Linked DNA regions of Lepisosteus oculatus. The protein of the gene in region 1 interacts with the protein of each later gene in a biochemical or structural test. Links are inferred from orthologs where the notes say so. Each region holds a gene or a part of one and is shown in the gene's direction. Other genes may lie near its edges.

Region 1 (7,378 bases):
GGTCACTTATACACTGTGGCATGTGGACACTGTTGTGTACTGAGTGGAAGCTTGGGACTGGAGGTCAGCTCCAGTACCTTTCAGATTGGGACTGTTTGCTCTCTGGGATCTTTAAGCACAGTTTGGCATCTCTTCCAATCTAAAAATAATTTGTAACATTGTTACTATTTTATCTTGTTGACTTCTGAATTATGTTTTTGCAAATAAATCCATATTTACTCTCTGTATGTGAGTACCCTTGAAGTGCAAAAAAAAAGGACCAGGATTTGAAGCCTGGGGCGTTTCTGCAGTGCTGACACATTGTGCACTTGGGCAGTGTGTTGAATGAGATTGTAAACAATACATTTCTTCAGAAAGGAGGAGAAAGATATTTGAGAAACATGGACAGAATATGTTGTATGAGTGAGCAGTGTGTTAACAGGAGAACTGTTGGTCGTTTAACTTCTCTTTTCCTCAGAATGGTAAGAATCTGGAATGGTAATGTTCAGCACTCTTTGTCTACAGTGTCATGACTGTGGTGTGTGTCTGAATCTCAGGAGGTCTTGAGTATCCCCGTTCCCGCCCTCGAATGCAGTGGGTGAAGAAACCACCAGAGCGACTGCTCAGTCTGCTGGAGAAGGCTCATCTCAGTGAGGCATTCAAGACGTACACTGTGTGCAGGCCAGGTGAGACAGAGAGATGTGCAGAATGGGCTTGCAGCAGGCGAGTAAGGTGGGCGCGGAGAGGTGCAGAGGAAGGTGTGTCGATTTCAGTCCCAGAAGAGGAGTGCAGACTCACTGAGCTTTCTGTTTGATTTGTACTTAATAATTAAAGATGTGTGATGTAAACATTTTGGACTCCAGTACTCAGAAACAGTGACCCCCACCAAAGAAAATATACCAGAAGATAAACCAGTTGTATTGTAAAAGAAAAAAATACTTACAAATACAGGGTCAGATTTTGTTGTGTTGAACATGTTTTGTGGTTGGGACTGTTTAAACACATAATATGAATCTATAAGATATTTTGGTAGAAGTGCAACACAATAAGTAATTGAGATTTAGGCTTATAAAATATTGTATTTAATTCTAATAAATAAAATAAACAAGTAAATCACAACAAGGTCAGTCACTAGGGTCAGTCACAGATTCTTGAATCCCTCATTGTCGTCCGGATACCTAGTCACTGGTCTTCTTGCTATTCTTACAAATTATGCTTTCTGAAATAGAGGAAAGAAAACAGGCATAGTGCTATTCTTGGTTATTGTTGGGGCTTCCTTGCTAGCAGGAAGAATACTTTGTGTTTACTCCATTAATTCCCCAATTTTTAACAGTTTTCTATATTTACATTTTCTGCATAACATTTTACTCCTCCCCAATCTGGAACTGTCAGTTGTGTCTCTACACTTGTCTCGGCCCACAGTGACATCTTTTGCTTTTAAAATCCAGTTGGTTTTTCGGTGAGGACCACGGAAATGGTAATTTAATGAGCTGCTAGAAAGTAAATATGTTGGGTGTGCTGATTGACCTCTCTTTCCTCATGTGTAACCTTTTGTTCTTATAAATCAACGAGGCGGTTTTTTCTTTCTTATTTTTTTGTACCCCAGCCAAATTTAACCCTCTGGTAGGGCCCCTGACACGGGGAGGTTGTGATGACACAGATGGGGACATAGAAGATAGTGTGGATTCCTACCGACTGGAGCCACGCTCTGATGATGAGGACACGTGAGTCTCTATACAGTCCCTGTCACTCATAACGGCACACACTCCCTCCATTGGCTGGCTAGTACTTGGATGGGAGATTGGAAGTAATAAGAAACTGCCTTAACATGGTATGGCAACTGAGAACCTTGAAGAATAAGCTTTTTGAGGTTCTTAAACCTCAGTCTTGAACTTGTGCTATGTGGTAATAGGTTATTCTATTAATCCACAGGAAATCCCCATTTTTAGAACACCCCTGCTTTCTGCTTTCTTGACTAAAACACCATAGTGCTGGCAACTTCCACAGTACTTCCTTGTGCTGCTTATGTTCTCATAGTGCAAAAGAGTTAGGTTTGCACTTGAGGATTTGTGTACATGGTCTAAAGAATGATGAACAAATCTGAAAGAAGATCATTTCCTCTTCTCAACTCAGGTTGAATTGTCGACAGTCCAAATGTTTTGCTTCATACTTGCAGGTTGAATTTTGTAGAAAATGTCCAGGGTGTCTTACTGCTTCAATATCCTTTGATATAGTTTGATTTTTACCATCCTGTGGAAAGGGTATCCTTTGAGGTCTCTGTGAACTTAAGTTGGGGCTCAGATGATTGTTTCACTGTGAAATATCCCTAGGGTATTCTGTTTTAATTTTGGGCAGATGTGTCAATTATAGATCATTCAGACAGTTTTCATTATATTTATAATGCCTGGATAAAGTCTATTTTTCATTCATTCTGCTTTAGCTTTCTTCATGCTTTCCTCCTTCATACTCTACATGTATATTACAACACAGGAAAAAATACTAGCAAGTGACATTATGTCCATCCTGTTTCTTTTATTGGCTGTAGGTCATGACAGCTATTGTTAATATTACTTTTAAGGCCCTGCATTAGTTGCCAAGGCCACAAACAACCTTTTCTGTGAATTTGTGTGTTTGTAACATTTTAACATATAACTGACTTACAGAAGCTCTTGTCATTTTCAGGGATTTTGAAGAGGAAACATTCTCCGACTGGGTGACAGAACTAGAGAAGATTTCCAAGTAAAACAAATGTGACACAGCCATTGCAAACTCTCCTACATTGAATAAAATATTAACTATTTTTCAAAATACCATGGTGTTAACATCAGGTTAACCTGCTTGTTAATGATCTAATTAAAGAAACAGATAATACAAATGTATTTAAATATAATATTTTCATTATGTAAATAAATAATACTGGTGTTATTATTTTGAATGAACAAACCAACAGAATTGGATATCACTGTGTATGAGCCTCATTTTCTTCCCCTGTTTTCCCTGAACTGCCAGCAACTGCAATATGATATAAACTGGCAAAATTTGATTATTTTTAAATAAGATTTATGATCACAATGTGCCAAAGTGCGTTTCATTTGTCTTTTCAAAATCCAGCTTTAGGTTTGAATTTTATTTCAAACTTTGCTACCACATCAGTTTTTGAATTGATTTTCAATAAATACTGAAAATGTTGTTGGTCTCTATGTAATTATTTGCAACTGATGTTCTTCCTCCAGTTGTCATTGAGATTTTGTTTTGGAATTTCTCATTTCTTCTCTTTTGCTTTTATTTTTTGCATTATCAAAGATATGCTTGTTTATGAGAGACAGATTATGTTATGTGTTCTTCTGTGATTTGTGTGGTGCCTTGTCAGCTTTGTGAGATGTGTCTTTTCTTCCTCTTTGTCAAAAACGTTTATACCAGGTGAGAGACTGTGAAAATTCAAGCACCCAGGTTACAGGTCACAATCTCAATCTTACTATCAGAAGACCCCTTTCATAACTGTCCTGAGGCCCAGTGTTTTCTTCAAAGTAGCAAGAAATGAATATTTCTTGAAAGAATGTAAACAATGAAAACCAAGCACCAGCATCTGTCTAGCATAACAGGTTACAAATATTATGAAATGTAAGAAACAGAACAGGTCAAGAATAACCAAACCTACAAATGTGAAAAAACTGGGGTTGATGTAGTCTTTTAATAATTTTCATTACACTTTAACTGGTATATAGTTTTACATAAGGAATTTAAAATAATTTAAAATGCTTTGCAGTATCATTCTGTGTGCAATATACATAACAGAAACGTTTTCCAAATATATCAGGAACCACTGAAGAATTAGATTTATTCTGGGTAAATTCTGATTAAAATTAATGTTTTATATTAATTTATATTGTTTACATATAAACATTATCCAAAGTATAACATTTACACAAATCCACAAAATATATATTTACTGCTTGGATACAGAGAACAATATCATATGTTTTGAAATAATTATTTCATTTATATGACCGTGCAGTACAACGGCAGAAAAATAAATATCATGTGTTAAAGATTTTGCGGGTACCTGTTTTCAAAACTTCCAAGTGTACTTCACGACTCTCATGTGCCATAATTTAAAAGGGGGAGGACCGTGCTAGATTTCAAACAATTCCACGGCTTTTTCAACAAAATAACATGTCTCGTCCGGAGCACTACAGAGTTTTTTTTTTACACTTTGGTTTATGTTTACATGTAAACAATACCAATTTATTATGTAAACAAATAAGTTTAACTTTTTCTTTCATTCTTACGACTGTTACAAAATGAGTTACAAGTTTCTTTCTCTGGCCAGTGGCTAAATGTCACAGGAAGTGACGGAGCAGGGAGGGAGGATATTTCGCAGTTTTCCCGCGGTTTAAGTGCCCTCTGAATCAGTTGAAACCAGAAGTACTTCTTGTCAAACGTGTAGGGGGGGGGATTTAATACTAACAAACAAAAAAGTATCCAAAGACAAAGACGCCGATTCCAGGAGTGGTTCTCCGCTATTACACTTGCACTCGGATCTTGTTAAAGCCATTGACATGCCTCCAAAGAGACGCAGCGCAGCTCCGAGCGCTCAGCTTTCTAAGGCTGCGGAGGATAAACACACCAACCGCGTCGGTGTCCCCGGGACGCCGGGTAGGATCCCCCAGCTCTCTCTTGAAAGGTAACAGCAGATGCCAAGAAATCGAAAATCTCTCTTGTTTCACGAGGAAGAGCTGGGTTTACTTGACCAGCTGTCATGCTGCGTGTAAACCTTTTGAGAGTGTGTAATGTAGGACCCGTTATGTTTGCCTTTGAGCCGCGCAGAGATTTAAGTCTCATGAATGAGGCTGACACTTGGGTTTTTCTGTTCTACTACTCATCTTCCGTATGCAAGAGGTGCAGGTACTACGCGATGTTTTTATTTCGTAGATTTCTTTCCCCTTTAGCCGGTGAAAAAGATTCCGTTTTTGTTTCCTGTGTTTGTCAAATAGGTTCCAGTCCTCATCAATTATACATTTTCGTCTTTGCTCCGGCCAAACAGACGTTCTTTACGTGTATATGCTTATGATAGATGGAGTTTAAAGTTTAGAAAGATATTCAGTCCCAGTTTGTGTTTAGTATGTAGGTGGATATCATGGCTGAAATATAACTAAAGTACGATAGCGTAAACTTAGTTTGTGCAGAGCGTTAGATCAGCAAAATGCACATTTAAACCTCAATATGAAGTCTCTAGTGTTTATAATGATATTTTAACCCAGCGCTTCATAGTCCTTTCCATGTTAAGATATGCCTCTTGTAAGATTTGTAAGTTAGATCACTTTTAGTGAGAATGGAGCTTCCTTGTGACCCACTGAAGTTTCTTAAAGATCAGAGAGGCTTCAATTACTTATTCTAGAAATCTATTTATAGATTTAAATACTACAATATTGTTAAAAAGCTGTCACCCACACCCCTTTGTGTTAGGTTCCTCCTGTTCTCAATTTTAAATCTACTGACCGTTTGTATTCTCTGATTAATGTTTTATTGTTGATTCTAAAAAAAAAGTCCAGTAGGTTGTCTTTGTCAGTGCCTATTGAGGACTGTCTTAATTCGATACTAAAGCAATGGTCTTGATGCCAGTCAGATGTGAAAATACAACCCACTAGGATATTGCTATCAGGATCATTGTGATTGCACTGCATCAGCAGTTTAGGAAGCTTATTCTGGCTTTGCATGTTTACACATTTCTTTTTGCTCTGTTCTATATTCTGTCTCTATTAATTAACTAACTAAATGTGTGGTCTTTATCAGTTTATAGGGAATGTACTTGTAGGACATTAGCATCAATGTCAAAGTTTCTCTGGACTTCATGAATAAACTATCACTTTAGTCTAATTCTTACAGTGTGAGGATATTAAAAAATCTTGGACACTTTAGCACTTAACCACCTGTGTAGAATAATGTAATGACTTGATAATCTGCCTTATATGTGTACATCAATCGAGCAATATTTATTGTGTTAATTACAGCTTAAATAAGAACACATGGCACAAATTAATATTCCACTCCATAATAATAAAATAGTAAATAGGCAAATCTGCTTCATTGCTAAATACTACAAGACGTTTCCGTTATCTGTTGAGGCTTAAATACTGCCATCAAACCAAATTATTTAACACTGAGAGGAAATATTGCTTTACAGCTTCACATAAGACTAATAAACAACTGAAGGGGAAGTGTTCAGATCAGGAATTTAAAACTGTCATAGTATGCAAGCTGCCCCTGTACAAAACAAGAAGACTGAGAAGCAAGCACGGAAAAAAAATCATTAAGTTGAAAGGACTCTGCATGGAGCTCTGTTTATAACTATTCTTAATACACCTTTAATGATGCATCATTTCACGCCACCATACAATAAAACTTTTGAAAGAGACAGGTAACCATAAGTTAATACAACTAAAAGCTAGAATGTAAAAGTGAGTGGTCTGATGTGGACTGGGCGATCATTCCGCAGATGACGACAAAAAGTATTTTCTCTGAGCACCAGAAGGAAAAGCATAGATTAGATAAGATTTAATTGACCCATGCAGGAAAAAAAGGGAGAAGAAAAACAGCACATTTGACTATTACAAAAAATAAGAAAAACATTGCTCATTATACTATTAAAAAAAAAGCAAAACATTCCGCATCATTCTATTGCACAGTATAACACATAACAACATGTAACATTTATAACACATCACAAAAACATATTGCACTCAAGTGGGTGGTAAGAGTCAAAATTGTGTTTATCCGTGACATTTGCATTGACAGTATTAATGGATAGTGGAACAAAGGAATGTTTGTATTGGTTTGACATGCTGCTGAACTTTGGAGCAAACACTCTCAACATGAGTGACCCGCACAGGTAACGGTCTATGTGTACACCTAAGTATTAATATGAGTCAACCTGAGTGATAAGTTTGTTGTGGATTACTACCTGTAAGTGATCAACTGTTCTGGGATCAAAAACTATTTCTTTTTAGATCTAGATCTCCAATTGTTCTGAACATCAGCCTCTCACTTGGTACTGAAACAAGGCCCGTGTCCAAAAGGGGCAACCGATGTGTGTTTTCAAAGGATTAACGGTTCACAGGTGTAGTTAGGAGCCCAAGCTTTCGTCCCCTTTAAGGTGATGAGGAGCGTTTAGAACTTATCCATTTCGGATATGTTCGGGGAGGTTAAAACAGATAATTAATTCACATGCATTTTACTTTTGGTTAAAGTTGACTAACTGTAGTGAGGAGCATATTTTATGTACACTGAATCAGTGGATTTATCCTCCATCACACTTTTTTAGTAAGACTGTTGGTCTTGAAGGTAATTGAAGCAGTTTTGTGGTCAGACAAAATTCTCCTTGTGTAAAACTGTTACATAG
Region 2 (7,725 bases), on another chromosome or scaffold:
CTGACACCGATGTGGCTGTCTCTATTCTATCTAATTGCATCTCTGACATAAAAATTTGGATGACTCAAAACTTCCCTCATCTTAACTGCGACAAGACCGAAGTCATGCTTATTGGCACCCCCCATCAACTTCTTAAAGCCAGTCCTGTAACCCTATCTGTAGATGGTTCTGTACTTGAGCTTCAATCTTAATTGAAAAACCTTGGGGTTATATTCGATTCTAGCTTAACATTCGACCAACATGTACAGCATACTGTCAAAACATCTTTTTTTTCACCTCAGAAATATTGCTAGACTACGTCCTATGCTATCACTAGCTGTGGCTGAAAAGCTGATCAACACATTTGTGTTCTCTCGAATTGACTACTGTAATGCTCTACTTGCTGGGGTACCTAAATCTACTTTGAACAAACTGCAGTATGTCCAAAACTCAGCAGCCAGAATCCTGACCAGGTCTAGTGCAAATGATCACATTACTCCTATCCTGGAGTCCTTGCACTGGCTCCCGGTCAAATCCCATCTTTAAAATCCTCATGCTCACCTATAAGGCTCTGCGTGGCTTGGCACCTCAGTACCTGTCTGAACTATTATCGCCCTGTTCCCCACCTCACAACCTTCTCTCTTCTAATTCTGCTCTCCTTACTGTCCCCCAAGCCCGTCTACATTGTATGGGTGACAGGGCCTTCTCCTGTTATGCCCCCAAGCTCTGGAACTCTCTCCCCAAGGATATCAGAGTCAAAACTTCTCTAAACTTCTCTAAAACTTCTCTAAACTCCTTCAACTCCAGACTCAAAACCCTCTTCTTCAGAAAAGCCTTTACTGAACTGGTTCCATTATTCACCCCTCTGGTTTTCTTAGTACCACCATCCACGCTCTCCTCTATATATTGTTATTATGTTTTATCTTGTGTATTCTTCTTATTTATTGTTGTTGTCATTCTGTAAAGCGCTTTGAGAAGCCACCTTTAAAGGCGCTATATAAAATAAAGTTTATTATTATTATTATTATTATTTCCATTATGTCTTCATCCCGAAAGACAGGACTCATCAGCAGCTCCACCTGGGCGACACACAGCAGTCCAGCTGTACAGCAGGTCAGAAACGGCTTCAGTGGCTGGGTTAGGGGGAACTTGGGTGTGGTCAGACTCTACAGTCCCAGAGCGGAATTAGGCCAGGGCACCAGGGTTCACACCCCATGGTTAGGAAAAACACCAGGAGATTTTTAATGTGCCCATCTCATTCAGCCTCCAACAGCACACTGTCACCAGTCAGCATACTGGGACACTGGTTAGAAACTCTGGTCCACATGTGCTTTACTATAGTATTTTTTTATAAAAGTGACACATTTAACATTTTTGGAAAGATCAGTAGACAGTCAGATTGCAATATTGCAGACTGCAGATTGCTCAAAGTCAGATTGCTCGTTTGTCCTGTTTAAATCTCACTACAGTGGGCTGTGGCAGGGGTGTGCTGCAGGGATGATGTCTGTAACAACCCCGTTTCCAGTCTCTGCTGCCAGAGCCATCACACACGCTGTGTGCCCTTCTCTGCTCCTCCAAGACCTGCGCCACGTTCGCCAGCTGTCCCTTAGAAAACACGTGCCCTGAAGAGGGTTCCGCAGACTCGGACAGGAAGTAGTGACAGGGGGACACGTGTCAGTGTCGCACTCCAAAATTGCATGACACTTCGCCAAAGACCTAACAAAGACCAAGAGAAAAATGGTGCATTTCTCTGCTATTTTTACCTGCAGACTTGGTGTCCTTGAGGATTAAAATTCAGATCCAAAGAAACAGTTTCTGAATACTTTATGTTGAAATTAACAGGGCTCATAATAGTTATTTTTATATATATATAGTTATAATGAGGTAATTTTACAAAAATGCTGTGTCATAGGACAGTGTGAACAGAAGAACTTGAACTTTAAGAAATTCTTTCCCTGAATTCCTGGGCTTTGCACAGACCTTACAAACTCACGCGTAACAAGACTGAAGCACCCAAGCCCCTGCCTGCAGCATCACTGAGCTGCTCATGTGCTTGATGAATACAACCACGAATGCTGGTAGGCCTCCTCACAAAGCGCTCGGCTCAGGAGCTCTTGTGTGTGAGCTCTTGAGTCACACAGCCCTGACAGAGCTGCGCGAGGGGGGTCACAAGACAAGCTGCAGGAGCCCTTAACAATGAGCCCTTTTAATCCCACCCCCCCACCCCGGCCAACCTGCCTGGGCTGCCCCCGGACTCGGAGAAGGAAGGATGATTTGGACAATAAATGAATACTCCTAACATCCTGCGGGAGCTGATCTGCAGCAGGGTTTTGAGGAAAGTGAACGGAGGTGAAGGTTCGATTATTCCTCACCTGGGTTGTGCACAAGCTGATTTTGTGTTGAAACGTACAGTGCTTTTAATGGCATTTTTTGCAAGAATAGCAGGGGTGAGACTCACAAGAATGGAGTCTTATGATATTGTTCCCAGAAGAACCTGACCATTTAGAAATACCACTCTGCCTAAATCTCTGGGCTCTGCAAAGACCTTATGAACTCATGTAACAGGACTGTTGCACACTGATACTGTTCCTCATGAAAGATTTTCTCACCCCGTGTTCTCCCTGACAGTCCTGCGCTGTTACTGTACTTCCATACTGACTTTTACTACAGTTTCTTGTAGGGCTGCTATGCTCACTCCATGCTTTACTGCGCCACACCACAGCTGACTCTGGCATGAAAGGCACTATACAAATCAATAAAGGGACTTTATTTATTTAAATCTTTAGATTTTAGGTAAATTCCCTTTAAGTCTTTGTACTCCTTTTGTAAGGGAAGCCTTATGTCTTTATCAGCGTGAGGCGTCGCCCTGCCTGAATTTGAACTCTGCTGCTTTTCTAGAGGACCCATTGTGATGAGATTACTGTGACGAGCTTCTGGCATCTCCTTTAATTCCTGCCTCAGAACGTTTCTGGTACCCCGATGTTCAGCACCGGTGCCCCTGAAGGGCAGTGCTGGAGCCGGTGAGCCTGGTATGCTATGGCTCACTCAGCCTGCCCTCGTCGCGACCGGCTCTGGTGCAGGCCGGAGACTCGTGCCCAGTGGTCCAGCCAGGTTCAGAGATTATGGCAGAGAGGTCAGTTCTGTCTGGGGGTAATTGGTTCTTATGAAACTTTAATCTCGAGAGCTGTTACAGAAGCGCTCCAGAGTTTTACAGGGGCTGAGGGTCAAAGAGTATTGCTGCAGATTTGGGATTTGTGTTTCGATGGGTTGAGGCATTTTTTTTCATACAAATCTAAAATCATTCATAACACCAGTCGATCATTCCTGACCTGCCATTACCACCACATCCAAAATAGAAAGAAATAAGAAACCTAAACCTGTATTTACAAATTGAAACTAAAAACACTCTCTGTGCCCCCCTTATAGTTACGTAAACCCGTTGGTTTTTAATTTTATGGGCTCTTAAGTCTTAACAATATTATCAAATGTATCTATAATTAAATGACACATGGATTTTGATGGACCTTACATCTTACATGTAAAAAAGTTACAAGAACAAAAGGTTCATAATTACACATCCCTATATGGCTAAGGTTTAATAACACCTTCATAACACTGTGGATCTATACTGTAAAAGCGAACGGTGTTGATTATCTCTGCTCTATTGTAGCTGCGCAGGCAGCAGTGTGAGTGTGAAGAGTTATAGTGATCTATCCCTGCAGAGTAGAGTATCCTTGCAGACGGAAAACCTCCACATGAGGGGAAGCACAAAATCGCGTGTGGAATGTGGAGTTAATCAGGATTATGGGAGCTCTTGTGACTCCGACTGCGATGGGATTTTGCACCCAAGGATTCAGCAACAAAGCTGCATGTTCAGAGTCCACTGGGAAGACCTGGAGCAATGTCCCTCCGAGACAGGGGGTGGTGGGGGGGCACAGACTATGATATCTGTCTGATGCTGCACATGTGCTCATGGGATCCCATCTGCATGACAGTCACACATCTGCTCAGAAACGGCAAAGTGTGACTGGTGTGAAGGTGGAGATTGGAGAGTGAGGGAGGGAGGCAGTGTGGGCTAGTGGTTAGAGCTGAGGCACTGGGAGAGAGAGAGGCAGTGTGGGCTAGTGGTTAGAGCTGAGACACTGGGAGAGAGAGAGGGAGGCAGTGTTTGGTCTTTTTCTTTCAAAATATTTGAGATCCCTAAATTATGTTTCAAAGACGTAATTATGGTTTTTGCATACCAGATTTGTGTCCATCTTAATTCTCACATTCATCCCTGAAACAAATCAAGAGCAAATACTACTATACATAATACTTTGATAATCCCCCGATAAAAATATAACAAATCAGAACACCTTTCAACAGCTTGTGCAGTGTACTAGAGGATTGCAGCGTGTGCTGTCACAGACAGACTGCGAGCTGAAATTTTCGAACGAGATTTTCGGTGTGGTGGAGCACAGCAACTGCACTTCGGGAAAGTGAAATTTGAATTGAGGCGGGTTGCTACGGGTGCCTACTGCTGCCTTTAAGTTGATATGCAGCTCCGCACTTCTTCCGGAGCGACAGGCCTCGCTTTGTCCTTCTGTATGGTGGAGGGCGGGGACGTCCGGGCTAAGAGGCGGGGTTACGTCCAACAATGGGCGTGACTCGGTCCCAAGTGGGCGTGGCCTGGTAGCTTTTTCCCAATTGAACGCCGAAATAACAAAGGGGCGGGGTCTTGCGCCGGGGTTTGGAGCCGAGGGCGGGGCGTCCTCAACGCGGGAATTGGCGGTTTTCAGTTACTTTCCGTTTTCTGGGCTGTGGGGGAGAGGGTTACAGGTCAATGCTGGAGGGTCTTTTTGGTTTTGGGGCCCCTCTCGTGTTCCCCCATCGGTACCGGGCGGACCGTCTCCAGCCACAAACCCCCGGCAAGTGCTCGTAGAAGTTCTTTGTCGAGCGAGTGTCGGTCTTTTGGTCAGACGGCGGCGGCAGCGGCGGCAGAGACACTCGGGCCAACAAAAGGGATTTTTTTGGGGGGCTGGGGGTGGGTGGAGGCACAGAGCGGGGAGGAACCATGGAGTCGTTTCAGAAAGTGGAGAAGATCGGCGAGGGGACCTACGGGGTGGTCTACAAGGCCAAGAACAAGCTGACAGGCGAGACGGTGGCGCTGAAGAAGATCCGGCTAGATACGTGAGTCGAGCCCAGCCTGTTGCTGATGCGCGCGCGTGTTTCCTTACGGCGTCTGCGCGCCGCGCGTGCGGGCGGGCGGGCGAGCGAGTGAGCGCGCGGCCGCCCGAAGCGGAGCTCCTCTCCTCTGCCACCCGTCTGGCGCCCGCGGGGCATCTGTGGTCCGGTCCGGGTCCGGGTCCGGGTCCTCCGTGTGGGGGTTGAGACGCAGCGCTCTGGTGCTCGGTGGCTCGTCCACGTCACGGAAGCGCCTTATAAACCCTGTGGACTCACCGGAGACCGAGCCGCTCGGAGCGAGTGAACTTCAAGACTTGGGCATGCGGTGACTTCAGTCCCTTTCTTTTGTGTATAGTTTTCTGGGGCTGTGATGTGTCCGCTGTGCTGTGTGTCTATGAACCGGCTCCTGTCTTTGTTTTAATCTTCAGTCTTAATTGAAGCCATGCAGACGTGGTGTGTTCTTATTTTTACTTGTTGTTTTATACGAGTTTACTTTAAGTCCTGAGTTAACTAAGTGTTTTTTGGGGGGGGTTTCTGATCTGGGGAAAAAATGTGTATCTACTGATGTAGAGGGTGCTGAGCCAGGCCAGGCTGAGGCCGCCAGGGTTGAGCCCCGTCCTTTCTGGCTGAGGTGCTTGGGATCGGTGCCTGTCCCCCAGCTGTTGTTGCTCTGTCGAGTGTTGGGGGTCCTGCTGGTCGTCACTGAGCGTGGTGTCGCTCACTGCGTGTGTTTCAGGGAGACAGAGGGAGTCCCCAGCACTGCTATCCGAGAGATCTCCCTCCTGAAGGAACTCAATCACCCCAACATTGTCAAGTGAGTCCGTGGAAGTGAGGGGTTCGGGGAGCGGGGGGCAGGTTGTTGGTGTTATTGCTTGCTGTCGGTGTTGTGTGTGCAGCTGTCAGCTTGTGTATGTCAGCGGTTGTAAGAGAGATCATGAATGATAGGAAGCCGTTTGGCCTACCTGCCTGCCTTGCTTGTCTGGTTGTTTACTAGGTAAAGGAACAATAAATGTCAGACATGTGGCTGGGATGCCTGCTCCAGACACCCACAGCTCTTTGTGTAAAGAAGCATCTCCTGTTCCCCGTCTTGAATGAGCACGTTGAAGAAAGTAAATAGACTCCCCGGTCCCTCTCCCTGCTCTGCTGAGTCCCCAGGCAGTGCGTCCGGTGTGCGTGTGGTGCCTTCAGTGTGTGTGCTGTGTGCCTGGTGTGCGTGCGGTGCCATCAGTGTCTGCTGTGCCCAGTGTGCTGTGTGTTGTGTGCCCTGTGTGCGTGCGGTGCCTTCAGTGTGTGTGCTGTGTGCCCGGTGTGTTTGCCGTGCGCCCAGTGTGCCTGGTGTGCCCAGTGTCTGTGCAGTGTGGGTGCAGTGCCTTCAGTGTGTGTGCTGTGTGCGTGCTGTGTGCCCGGTCTGTTTGCCGTGCGCCCAGTGTGCCTGGTGTGCCCAGTGTCTGTGCAGTGTGTGCTCAGTGTGGGTGCAGTGCCTTCAGTGTGTGTGCTGTGTGCGTGCTGTGTGCCCGGTCTGTTTGCCGTGCGCCCAGTGTGCCTGGTGTGCCCAGTGTCTGTGCAGTGTGTGCTCAGTGTGGGTGCAGTGCCTTCAGTGTGTGTGCTGTGTGCCTGGTGTGCGTGCGGTGCCTTCAGTGTGTGTTGCTTTGTGCCCAGTGTGCTTGCAGTGTGTGCCCAGTGTGCGTGCAGTGTGTTCCCAGTGTGCGTGTGGTGCCCCTAGTGTGTGTTGCTTTGTGCCCAGTGTGCGTGCAGTGCACCCAGTGTGTGTGCGCAGGGCAGTGTGCAGTGTGTGTCTTCCTGTGCAGATCTGTACTAATCAGTGTGCAGTTTCGTCTGTCCTGTTTCTGCCCAGGCCCTCTGTCTCCGTTTGCCTCTGTCCTTGTGTGCCTCTCCCTTTCTCTGTCTGCCTCGTGTGCGGCCCGATTGGGCCCGCAGGCCCGGCAGCAGGGCCGCTGTCCGTGCTGACGTGACTGCTCTCCCCCGCAGGCTGCGCGATGTCATCCACACGGAGAACAAGCTCTACCTGGTGTTCGAGTTCCTGCACCAGGACCTCAAGAAGTTCATGGACTCCACGCCGGTCACGGGCATCGCCCTGCCGCTGGTCAAGGTACGGCAAGTGTCAGGAGTGCGGCCATGCTGGCGAGAGACGGACCTGACTCCTCTTCTGGGATAGGCGCTCCTTCCTCCTCCTCCTGGGGTCAGTCCGGGGCAGACACCCCCCGACAGTGCTGTATCCCCAGGGAGCCCCACCAGGCACGGGGCTGAGCTGACCGACACTCACTGCCGCCGACATCCTGAGACTCTGTCTCTCTCCCTGAGCTGGAACTCGAGTCATGCTCTTAAAGGGGAACCAAATTAAAATTCCTTGCCGTTACAGAACAAAATGTACAAATTTAGAATCAAGCACAAAATCGTGAACTTTGTGAGAGTACTGTAAGTCGCCATGTTGACGCAAACTCGCATGCGAATTCACATGAATTGTGACGTGAAGGGGCCCTTCCTGCTCACTAGTCACCCTGATGACTAATGTAGTGTGATGTACAATCAAATAAATACAGGTTGTACAGTGGATATTTCACC
Region 3 (7,981 bases), on another chromosome or scaffold:
CGCCTGTGGCTGGAAAGTTTCCGGTCCAAATCCCACGGCCAGCAGAGGAATCCTACTCTGTTGGGCCCCTGAGCAAGACCCTTAACCCCAACTGCTCCAGGGGCGCCGTATAAATGGCTGACTCTGCGCTTTGACCCCAAGCTTCTCTCCCCGTGTGTGTGTCTCATGGAGAGCAAGTTGGGGTCTGCAAAAAGACAAATTCCTAATGCAAGAAATTGTATATGGCCAATAAAGTGATCTTAAATTATCTTCTTCTACAACCTGTGCCAGGCACCAAAGAGCCCGGTCAAGCACAGGTTCCACTCCTTCATCAGACTGGGGTTCTGATGCCCCTAGGAGCCTGGGACTCATGCTTAGCTGAGCAAACACAAGAGCCCTTTACCACGGCAGTGTGGATGAACCGGGACAACACTGTCCATCTTCTGCAAGCTAGGACAGCGCTGACCTATCAGGGAATGACAACGGGCTGGAAGTCACAGGAGTGAACAGAAAAACACAGCTTCTGCTTTGGCTTCTGGCATCCATTATGAAAGAGGAGTGTGGATCAATCTAAATAACCCGAAGTGGGGAGTCAGGGAGACCTAGGGGAAGACCCTTGCAGGCCTTAGGGAAAAGGACGAAGAGAGACGTTAGTAAGTGGGGACTTTCCACTGCAAAGGGAAGATGAAAAGAACTGTGGGCCTTGGGCAAAGACTGCAGGGAGAGGACAATGAGGCATTCTGTTCTAATCAGCCCCTGTGAACGGTCAGACATTCGCAGTTTCAGAGCCAAAACTGGATGGAGACGGGCACACCAGGGGGCACACTGGTCCCCAAACAAAGCGCTGTTAAGATGCAAATGCAAGAGGGAGGCGGGGGAGGGGGTGTTTTTCACACTTCGCAAGGCCCAGCCGAGCTCCTGTCATGACACTGCCTGTAACACAAAACTGAATCTGTAAACTATTTCAATCAAATGTATTTAAAAACAAACAAACTCTGTCACTACGTATTTCAAATAATAATTCCAACACACTACAAATAGCCTATTGCTTATCAGACAGGAAGTAATCATAACCATTCTGTTTTAAATTAGTTTAATTAACCGTTAGGACTTGAACTCCCTGAGATGTATTTTTCCCACTTGGGAGCTTTGTGATTTTCTCTGCTCCATGTCTAATGTTTGTTCAGTTGGCCCTGTACTATACTCATGACTTCTGCTACAATAATGGATAAAAAGTGCAGTGTTGTTCATCTCAGCAAATCACAAAATGCTTTACACGTGGAGGCATGAGAAAGCACTTCCCCAAATGAATACAGGGGAACTTCAGGAAGGCCAGACTGTACAAGACTTTAGTGCAATTTAGCCAGGGCACCAGGGTTAACACCCAAACTCTTTCGAAAAGTACCATATGACCACTTATTTAGGACTAGTTTTAACATCTCATGTGAAGTATGGAACCTACTAGTGTACAGTGTCTCCAGTCAGCTCAGTGTGAAACTGGTTTAGAAACTGTGGTCCTGAGGAGAGAGTGCCTCCTAGTGGTTCACCCGAGTAACGATCTGTGAAAGCGCTCCTGGGCTGTGAAGGCAGCAATACCGAACATATATTGAATTGATCTTACCCGCAAAAGATGTAAAGGGGTCTCAAGAGAACTTAAGATTGGTTGCAAGAACACCAGCATACGCCACACACACGGACAGTGCACCGGCAGCTCTAGAAATAGTCTAGACTTGCATCCACTGCAGAATATGACTACAGTAAAGATGCTGCCACAAAGTGTGGGAATCTCTGGGCACTCTGTGGAGCTGCGAGCATTTTCATGACCCGAACGCCAGTTTCGATGACAGAAGGCCAGCCTAGTGAAAGATATTATAAGCCAAAGTCTATAGTGCTCCTAATGGAAGCTCCACTCTGGGGTTAGCACTAGCGTGTGGAATCATTTTCAAGGACAGACTTTTTCCTTGCACTCCGATGCTTTGCCCGCAGCATTACAGAGGCCACACGACGCGATTCTCCTCTTCTCGCCTCTCACCGGGCAGAACCACTCTCTCATCCGGACAAACAGAAAAGCGAAACGCCGCACAGGACTCTACGAGAGAGCGCACGGTCCTGCCCAGTCTTTCACCATTCGCACAGGTGGAGAAGAGAGCCGCCTCGCACGATTCACAGGTTGGAACGTGCGGAGGAGACGCCCGCAAGTGAACGGCACACAGGTGGAAGATGTGCATGAACCTTCCCTATTAACAGTGGTTAATGTTCCCCTCGGGCACTGGGTGTTGGAAATTGCTCAGTCTTGGTGTCATGTGGGTGAGCTGAAGACGGGGTCCCACAGTTGCAGACGCCAGTTAGCACCTTCAAGCCTTTTGTTTTTCCCTTGTGCGCTGATCACAGTCTGCAAAGGACCTTGAAGTCTTTTGGGTGTTACAACATTCTCTGACACATATAGCAAATAAATGAGATTAGCCCACATCGAGAGCCTTAGATGTGGGACAGACAATAGACACAGTGGGCAGGCCCTTTGGGCACTTGTCCTAACAGGATAGCTGGATCAGTGAGGATTTACTGTTCAGAGGGGAGGAAGATCAGACACCTAATCATCTTAGTGACAAATGACAGAGAGGAAAAATAAACAGAATATATTGTTAAAAGGGCAAAACTCTCTTCTTAGTTTAAATTCCAGAGTAGACTGTGATTGTAATCTGATTAGATATCCTGCTGGCTCTTGGGCAGGAATGCAGATACCTTCTCAGTCAAGGATTTCTTTCTTAAAGGAAATTGAGAAAGGTAGCACGAAAACAACAAGCTAAATCTGCTTAACAGTTTGACTGGTGAATCTCATTAGTGTAAACTGTGGGGGGATGAACACATTTCTCTATAAGGATAACATCCCACCAAATCCACATGTGCAGAGGTTATTGAGCACTTATCACCCGCCGTGCCGAAGCCCGGCTACTCAATACGAAAGTGCAGCAAAAGAGTGTGAATTGGGATTTTCACAAACTGGAAAACAAAGTGAGCAGTACTGTAATTCTAAATGGAGACCAACGCTGAAATCATTCTGCTACAGGATCTACCGCTATACAACAGATTACAAATTGGTATTGTCATAATGCTCTTATTTCTTCAACCTTCTGATTTAATGCCATTTATTTAACTGTCAATTATTTCCTGGAGCAATATAAAGCAGTGCGAAAGCTCATGATCTCCAGTGTCACAAAGTATAGGTGGACTTGTGCTCAGTTGTAGAAATTCAGAGGCTAAAAACTGGAGGAAAACAGGTTCCCCGGACAAGGCTCGTTAAAATGCAAATACAACTGCGACTGTACCAGGGGGTGAAGGGAGGGTTCACACCTCCAAAGGCCCAATCAAACTCTTGACGCTTCTCATGGTCTCTTCACGCAACACGGAATTTACCCTGTGAATGATTTGGAGTTATCGTATTTTAAACAAATCTGTTACTAGGTATTTTAAAAATAAGTTCAATGCATGATATTCCAACACACAATACAAAATAGCCTGTTGACTATGAGACAGGATGTAATCATACCCATACTATTTTAAATTACTTGAATTCACCTTTAATTAATTTTATTTAATTAACTCCCTGAGGCTAATTTGCCCTTTCAGGACCTTTGTGTTTCTCTCTGCTCCAATTCTATGGCTGTCCAGTTGAGTCTGTACTATAATATTCACCATGACATGGACTATAATAATGAATATGTCCTTGAGTTTTATAGCACCGTTCATCTCAAAAGATCACAAAACGCTTTACATGTACGGTAAAAATGGGGGAACCGACGTATATGTAGAATATTTTCTTTAGAAAAAGTAGAAAATAACTTTAAAAATCATACATGCATAGGGTCTGTTTTTCCACTCTGATCGTCTTGTCAGTTCCTGCAGGAGGAAGTCAGAAGCTGAGCACGGCTGGTCTTGCTCAGTACTGGGATGAGATTTCATGGCGTAAAAGTTCAGCAGTGTCAAACTTCCACCAGTAGACGGCGACCTTCCCTCTGAACCACTAATTCCGAACCAGTGCCTCGATTAGTGATCGTGTGCTCATGGAGTTCTGGAAAAAACAACAGTTCGTCTAATGTTCAACGTCGTTCTCATGTTGGAAAACGTTTAAATACAGAGTTCGTAAAAGTTCTATGTGCTTCAAAGACAAATTCTTTAAAATCTATTTAAAAACACCCTTGGATAACTGGTTTACAGAAATTTCCTAGCATATAAATTTATGTAATGTGACCCCCTAACTTAATCTTCAAATCGATGTGGTTTGTTCTGCTTCGTTCATTTGACGTTGTCTTTGTGCTGTCGTGTTGCAGCACGTGTGAGTATATGTACATGCTTGCATTTCCATTTTTTTTTTGTATACAAAACGTAAAATGTAAATAAAAAATAGTGCTCATGTATATAATGCTTCATGTAACAGCGCCGTCCTTCGGTCAAGAACTTAAACTGAGGTCCGGACCCCTTGGTCATGAAAGATCCCATTGGGTTTCCTAGCGGGAACAGATTTCAAGGGATATACTGAATGGAACAGGACACTGTAACTTATTTATTTTGCACTAAAAGCCACTACATGCCACGGCACTGTTCATCACAGTAGAGAAGCTCACCACGGTGTCCGGGCTAAGCTCTGTTTTGGTTTTGCACAACCTGGCCTCCTTTAATTTTCCCTGCTGCGTGTCGTACCTGAATAAGGAGGGTATTAAAAAATTGTTAACGTTTACTTTTTACTTTAATAAGATATGGACGATAAATTGACTGCGCCGGTCTGGCTGTAAATGAGTAATTACTCATAAAGGATCTGCGTAACCGGTTCCTCGGTTGATGGACAGCTCCAGCGCCCACTCACAGTTCAGCTTTCCGGTTTTCAGCACTTCCAATCCGTGTAGTCATACGGCACCGATTCACCAATCAGAAGGCGATAGACCCGCCCGCGGGTTGAGCCCGGGGCCCCGTGCTATGGCAACCAACCGGAAGTGTGCGGGGAAACGGCTGCCGTAAACGCGTTCTGCGGAGGACTGCGGCGCACAGTCTCTACAGGGCAGCGGAAAGGCGTACTGCAGCTCTCGGGATGCAGCGTGACAGAGCAGGGACTTCGGGTGGTGGTGACAAGTAAGGACGTTGTTGTTTTTTTTTTTGGCGAAGATCAAACGCTTTCTTAAGATTTTCCGTCGGAGGTGAAATTCGGTTGATTCCCGGGTAGGATCACGCAGATCTGAGGCCTGAAGGAGGGTTACCTCTCGCTAGCGTGTGGGTGATGGCTGAGCTCCGTGTCTCCCTTGTCTCTCTCTCTCAGGGCCGAGCGGGAGACAGCGATGATGTCGAAGTATTATGATGGTGTCGAGTTCCCTTTCTGCGATGAGTTTTCCAAGTATGAGAAGCTCGCCAAGATCGGGCAGGGAACCTTTGGGTAAGTTTATTTTGCTCGCACGTCGTTCAACGTTTCCGTTTCCGCCAAAGTATTGTTTCGACCCACATGTGCGGCATATTGTCAAAACATCTTTTTTTCACCTCGGAAATCTCGCTCGACTACGCCCTGTGCCGTCACTAACTGTGGCTGAAAAGCTGATCAACACGTTTGTGTTCGCTCGAATTGACTACTGTAATGCTCTACTCGCTGGGGTGTCTAAATATACTTTGAACAAACTGCAGTGTGTCCAAAATTCAAAATATCAGAGAGTCACCTTCTCTAAACTCCGTCAAATCCAGACTCAAAACCTTCTTCTTCAGAAAAGCCTTTACTTAACTGTTCCATTCTTCACCCCTCTGCTTTTCTTAGTTCCAGCATCCACGGTCTCCTCTACATATTGTAATTGTGTTTTATCATGTGTATTCTTCTTATTTATTGTTGTTGTCATTCTGTAAAGCGCTTTGAGAAGCCACCTTTAAAGGTGCTATATAAAATAAAGTTGTTATTATTATTATTATTTTGATGTGCTCGGGTGTGTAGCAGTCCAGTTGCCATCTAACGCACGATCAACAATAACGATGGGATATTTTTCTTGGATTTGTCCAAGCTTATTTTGAAAGCCCCATATGTGTAAAAACTCACAGTTAAATACATTCTGATTCCATATTGTAATGCAGTAAAATGTAAGAAAGTCCAGGGGAGGTGAGTACGTTTGATAGCAACTGCAGCTGAATAGAAAAATTCCACTCCACACACACGATATGGGGAACATGTTCTGATTTGGTAAAATAATAAACAAATAGTATGGCTGTGGAGCCTTCTTTGGATGTAAGAAAGATAGTAATGTCTCCTATATGAAGTCATTTTATTTTATATTGTATTTTTATTGAAACATTACTGTAGTCAGTGTGTAATCCGAAATCTTAAAATCGGTTGGATTTCCTGGTGTTGGAGACTTGAAGTGCATTTTGTTGGTTTTTGATGCAGGTTTTGTGTTGTGTCCCCAGGGAGGTCTTTAAAGCTAAGCACAGGCAGACTGGCAAGAAGGTAGCCTTGAAGAAGGTTCTAATGGAAAATGAGAAAGAAGGGGTAAGAATCGTTTTTTCCTTTTTCGCCGTCACTGAGTAGATTGTGCTGACGAGACAAAAAAGCTCAAAGAGAGAGGCAGATGGAAAAACCAGCGTGTACTCTTCATTCCTGTCTTTTAATTCGATGCTGTCATTCCACTGTTTTGGTCATCCTTGCTTCTGTATTACGATACTGTAAAAATACGCAACTTTATAAACTGAACATAGTGAACAAATCTCCCTGGCTCCCATTTTTAAGCAGCATTTTCTATTCATTTAATCTTGAAAAGTGGAAATGCAGGTAGCACTCACTGTCACGTTCTTCTTCAGTTTCCCATTACAGCCCTGAGAGAGATTAAGATCCTCCAGCTGTTAAAACACGAGAATGTAGTGAATTTGATTGAGATCTGCAGAACAAAAGGTAAGTCCTCAGAAACTCATCAAGTTGTTTTTTTTCTGTGTACTTTTTTATAGGGCACGAGCAAATACGTAAATTGGTTTATTAAATCTTTATTAAAGAGTAGAAAACAAAAGTGAACACTTTTCAGTTGTTAAAAGGATGTAAAGCTGTTAAGAACACCCGAAACGTTGTTTTCTTTTGACATTTTGCATGAAAATAACCCTTACGTGTTACCTCATACGTAGCATAACCTAAAATAGTTTGATTATTGATATATAGATGTCGTAGTAAACAAACAGAATTGGCTATGTAAATTGTATTCTTATAGAAATACTGAATATCTAAGAATATAAGTATTTTTTAATTAATGTGCTTATTCAATAAAAAGAAAATTAAAGTGTTTTTTTTTTTAATTCCAGCCACCCAGTACAATCGATACAAAGGCAGCATCTACCTGGTGTTTGACTTCTGTGAACATGACTTGGCTGGGTTACTCAGTAATGCCAACGTCAAGTTTACTTTGGCCGAAATCAAAAAAGTCATGCAGATGTTGCTAAATGGTTTATATTACATTCACCGAAATAAGGTAAGAACTGTTTTTTGTTTTGTTTTTAAATCATTTCCTTTCTAAACCTTTATTAAATAGTTATGGACTTCTGTGAAATGTTTTGTTTTTACATTAACACTTACAAAACATTGAATCGTTTCCCTCTTGGTTATGCAACAGACACTTTGCGTTCAGAATTCAAAACCTTGCATGCTAAAGGGTTTATGTGTTTGTTTCTGTTGTTTTCAATGTTTTAGCTTTCTTAGTGCTGTGATTGCCTTTAGACAGTTGTGGTGGAATATGAAACTTTCTAAGAATCCCAGATCTTGTTTGTAAACCGTTTCACCCTGTATTATCAGGGAATTTGTAGCGACACAAGATTACTTAAGGACAATAAAACTTGAAGCTGGTATGCTGTTCTTGCTAGCTCTCCAACCTCAATTCCACTTGATAGGAGAGTGAAACACATGCTGAGAGATGACTAGGACTGATAGTGATACACTGATTCAGTTGTAAGACAGAATGCCCAGAGTATGTGCTACTGTGCTACTGTGAGTATGAACACA

Evidence for each region. The genes of interacting proteins can lie anywhere in the genome.
Region 2: of the proteins of rb1 (region 1) and cdk2, one has a biochemical effect on the other in vitro, tested with the Homo sapiens proteins (35 studies listed by BioGRID and IntAct). The link is inferred for Lepisosteus oculatus from reciprocal best matches to the Homo sapiens genes RB1 and CDK2.
Region 3: of the proteins of rb1 (region 1) and cdk9, one has a biochemical effect on the other in vitro, tested with the Homo sapiens proteins (4 studies listed by BioGRID, with this or other methods). The link is inferred for Lepisosteus oculatus from reciprocal best matches to the Homo sapiens genes RB1 and CDK9.

Annotation. Positions count from the first base shown.
Region 1 is NC_090700.1:17,210,527-17,217,904, forward strand, and holds the start of rb1 (retinoblastoma-associated protein), read left to right. Parts: upstream 1-4,376; 5' UTR 4,377-4,538; coding exon 4,539-4,663; intron 4,664-7,378. Other genes in the region: serine/threonine-protein kinase Nek3, read left to right, coding at 537-665, 1,586-1,703, 2,662-2,722. UniProt on the Homo sapiens protein: Tumor suppressor that is a key regulator of the G1/S transition of the cell cycle. The hypophosphorylated form binds transcription regulators of the E2F family, preventing transcription of E2F-responsive genes.
Region 2 is NC_090696.1:15,129,444-15,137,168, reverse strand, and holds the start of cdk2 (cyclin-dependent kinase 2), read left to right. Parts: upstream 1-4,717; 5' UTR 4,718-5,032; coding exon 5,033-5,148; intron 5,149-5,211; exon of another isoform or gene 5,212-5,462; coding exon of another isoform or gene 5,463-5,467; intron 5,468-5,475; exon of another isoform or gene 5,476-5,584; coding exon of another isoform or gene 5,585-5,595; intron 5,596-5,878; coding exon 5,879-5,956; intron 5,957-7,131; coding exon 7,132-7,252; intron 7,253-7,725. UniProt on the Homo sapiens protein: Serine/threonine-protein kinase involved in the control of the cell cycle; essential for meiosis, but dispensable for mitosis. Phosphorylates CABLES1, CTNNB1, CDK2AP2, ERCC6, NBN, USP37, p53/TP53, NPM1, CDK7, RB1, BRCA2, MYC, NPAT, EZH2.
Region 3 is NC_090719.1:14,317,107-14,325,087, forward strand, and holds the start of cdk9 (cyclin-dependent kinase 9), read left to right. Parts: upstream 1-4,973; 5' UTR 4,974-5,062; coding exon 5,063-5,103; intron 5,104-5,287; coding exon 5,288-5,401; intron 5,402-6,408; coding exon 6,409-6,490; intron 6,491-6,798; coding exon 6,799-6,889; intron 6,890-7,287; coding exon 7,288-7,454; intron 7,455-7,981. UniProt on the Homo sapiens protein: Protein kinase involved in the regulation of transcription.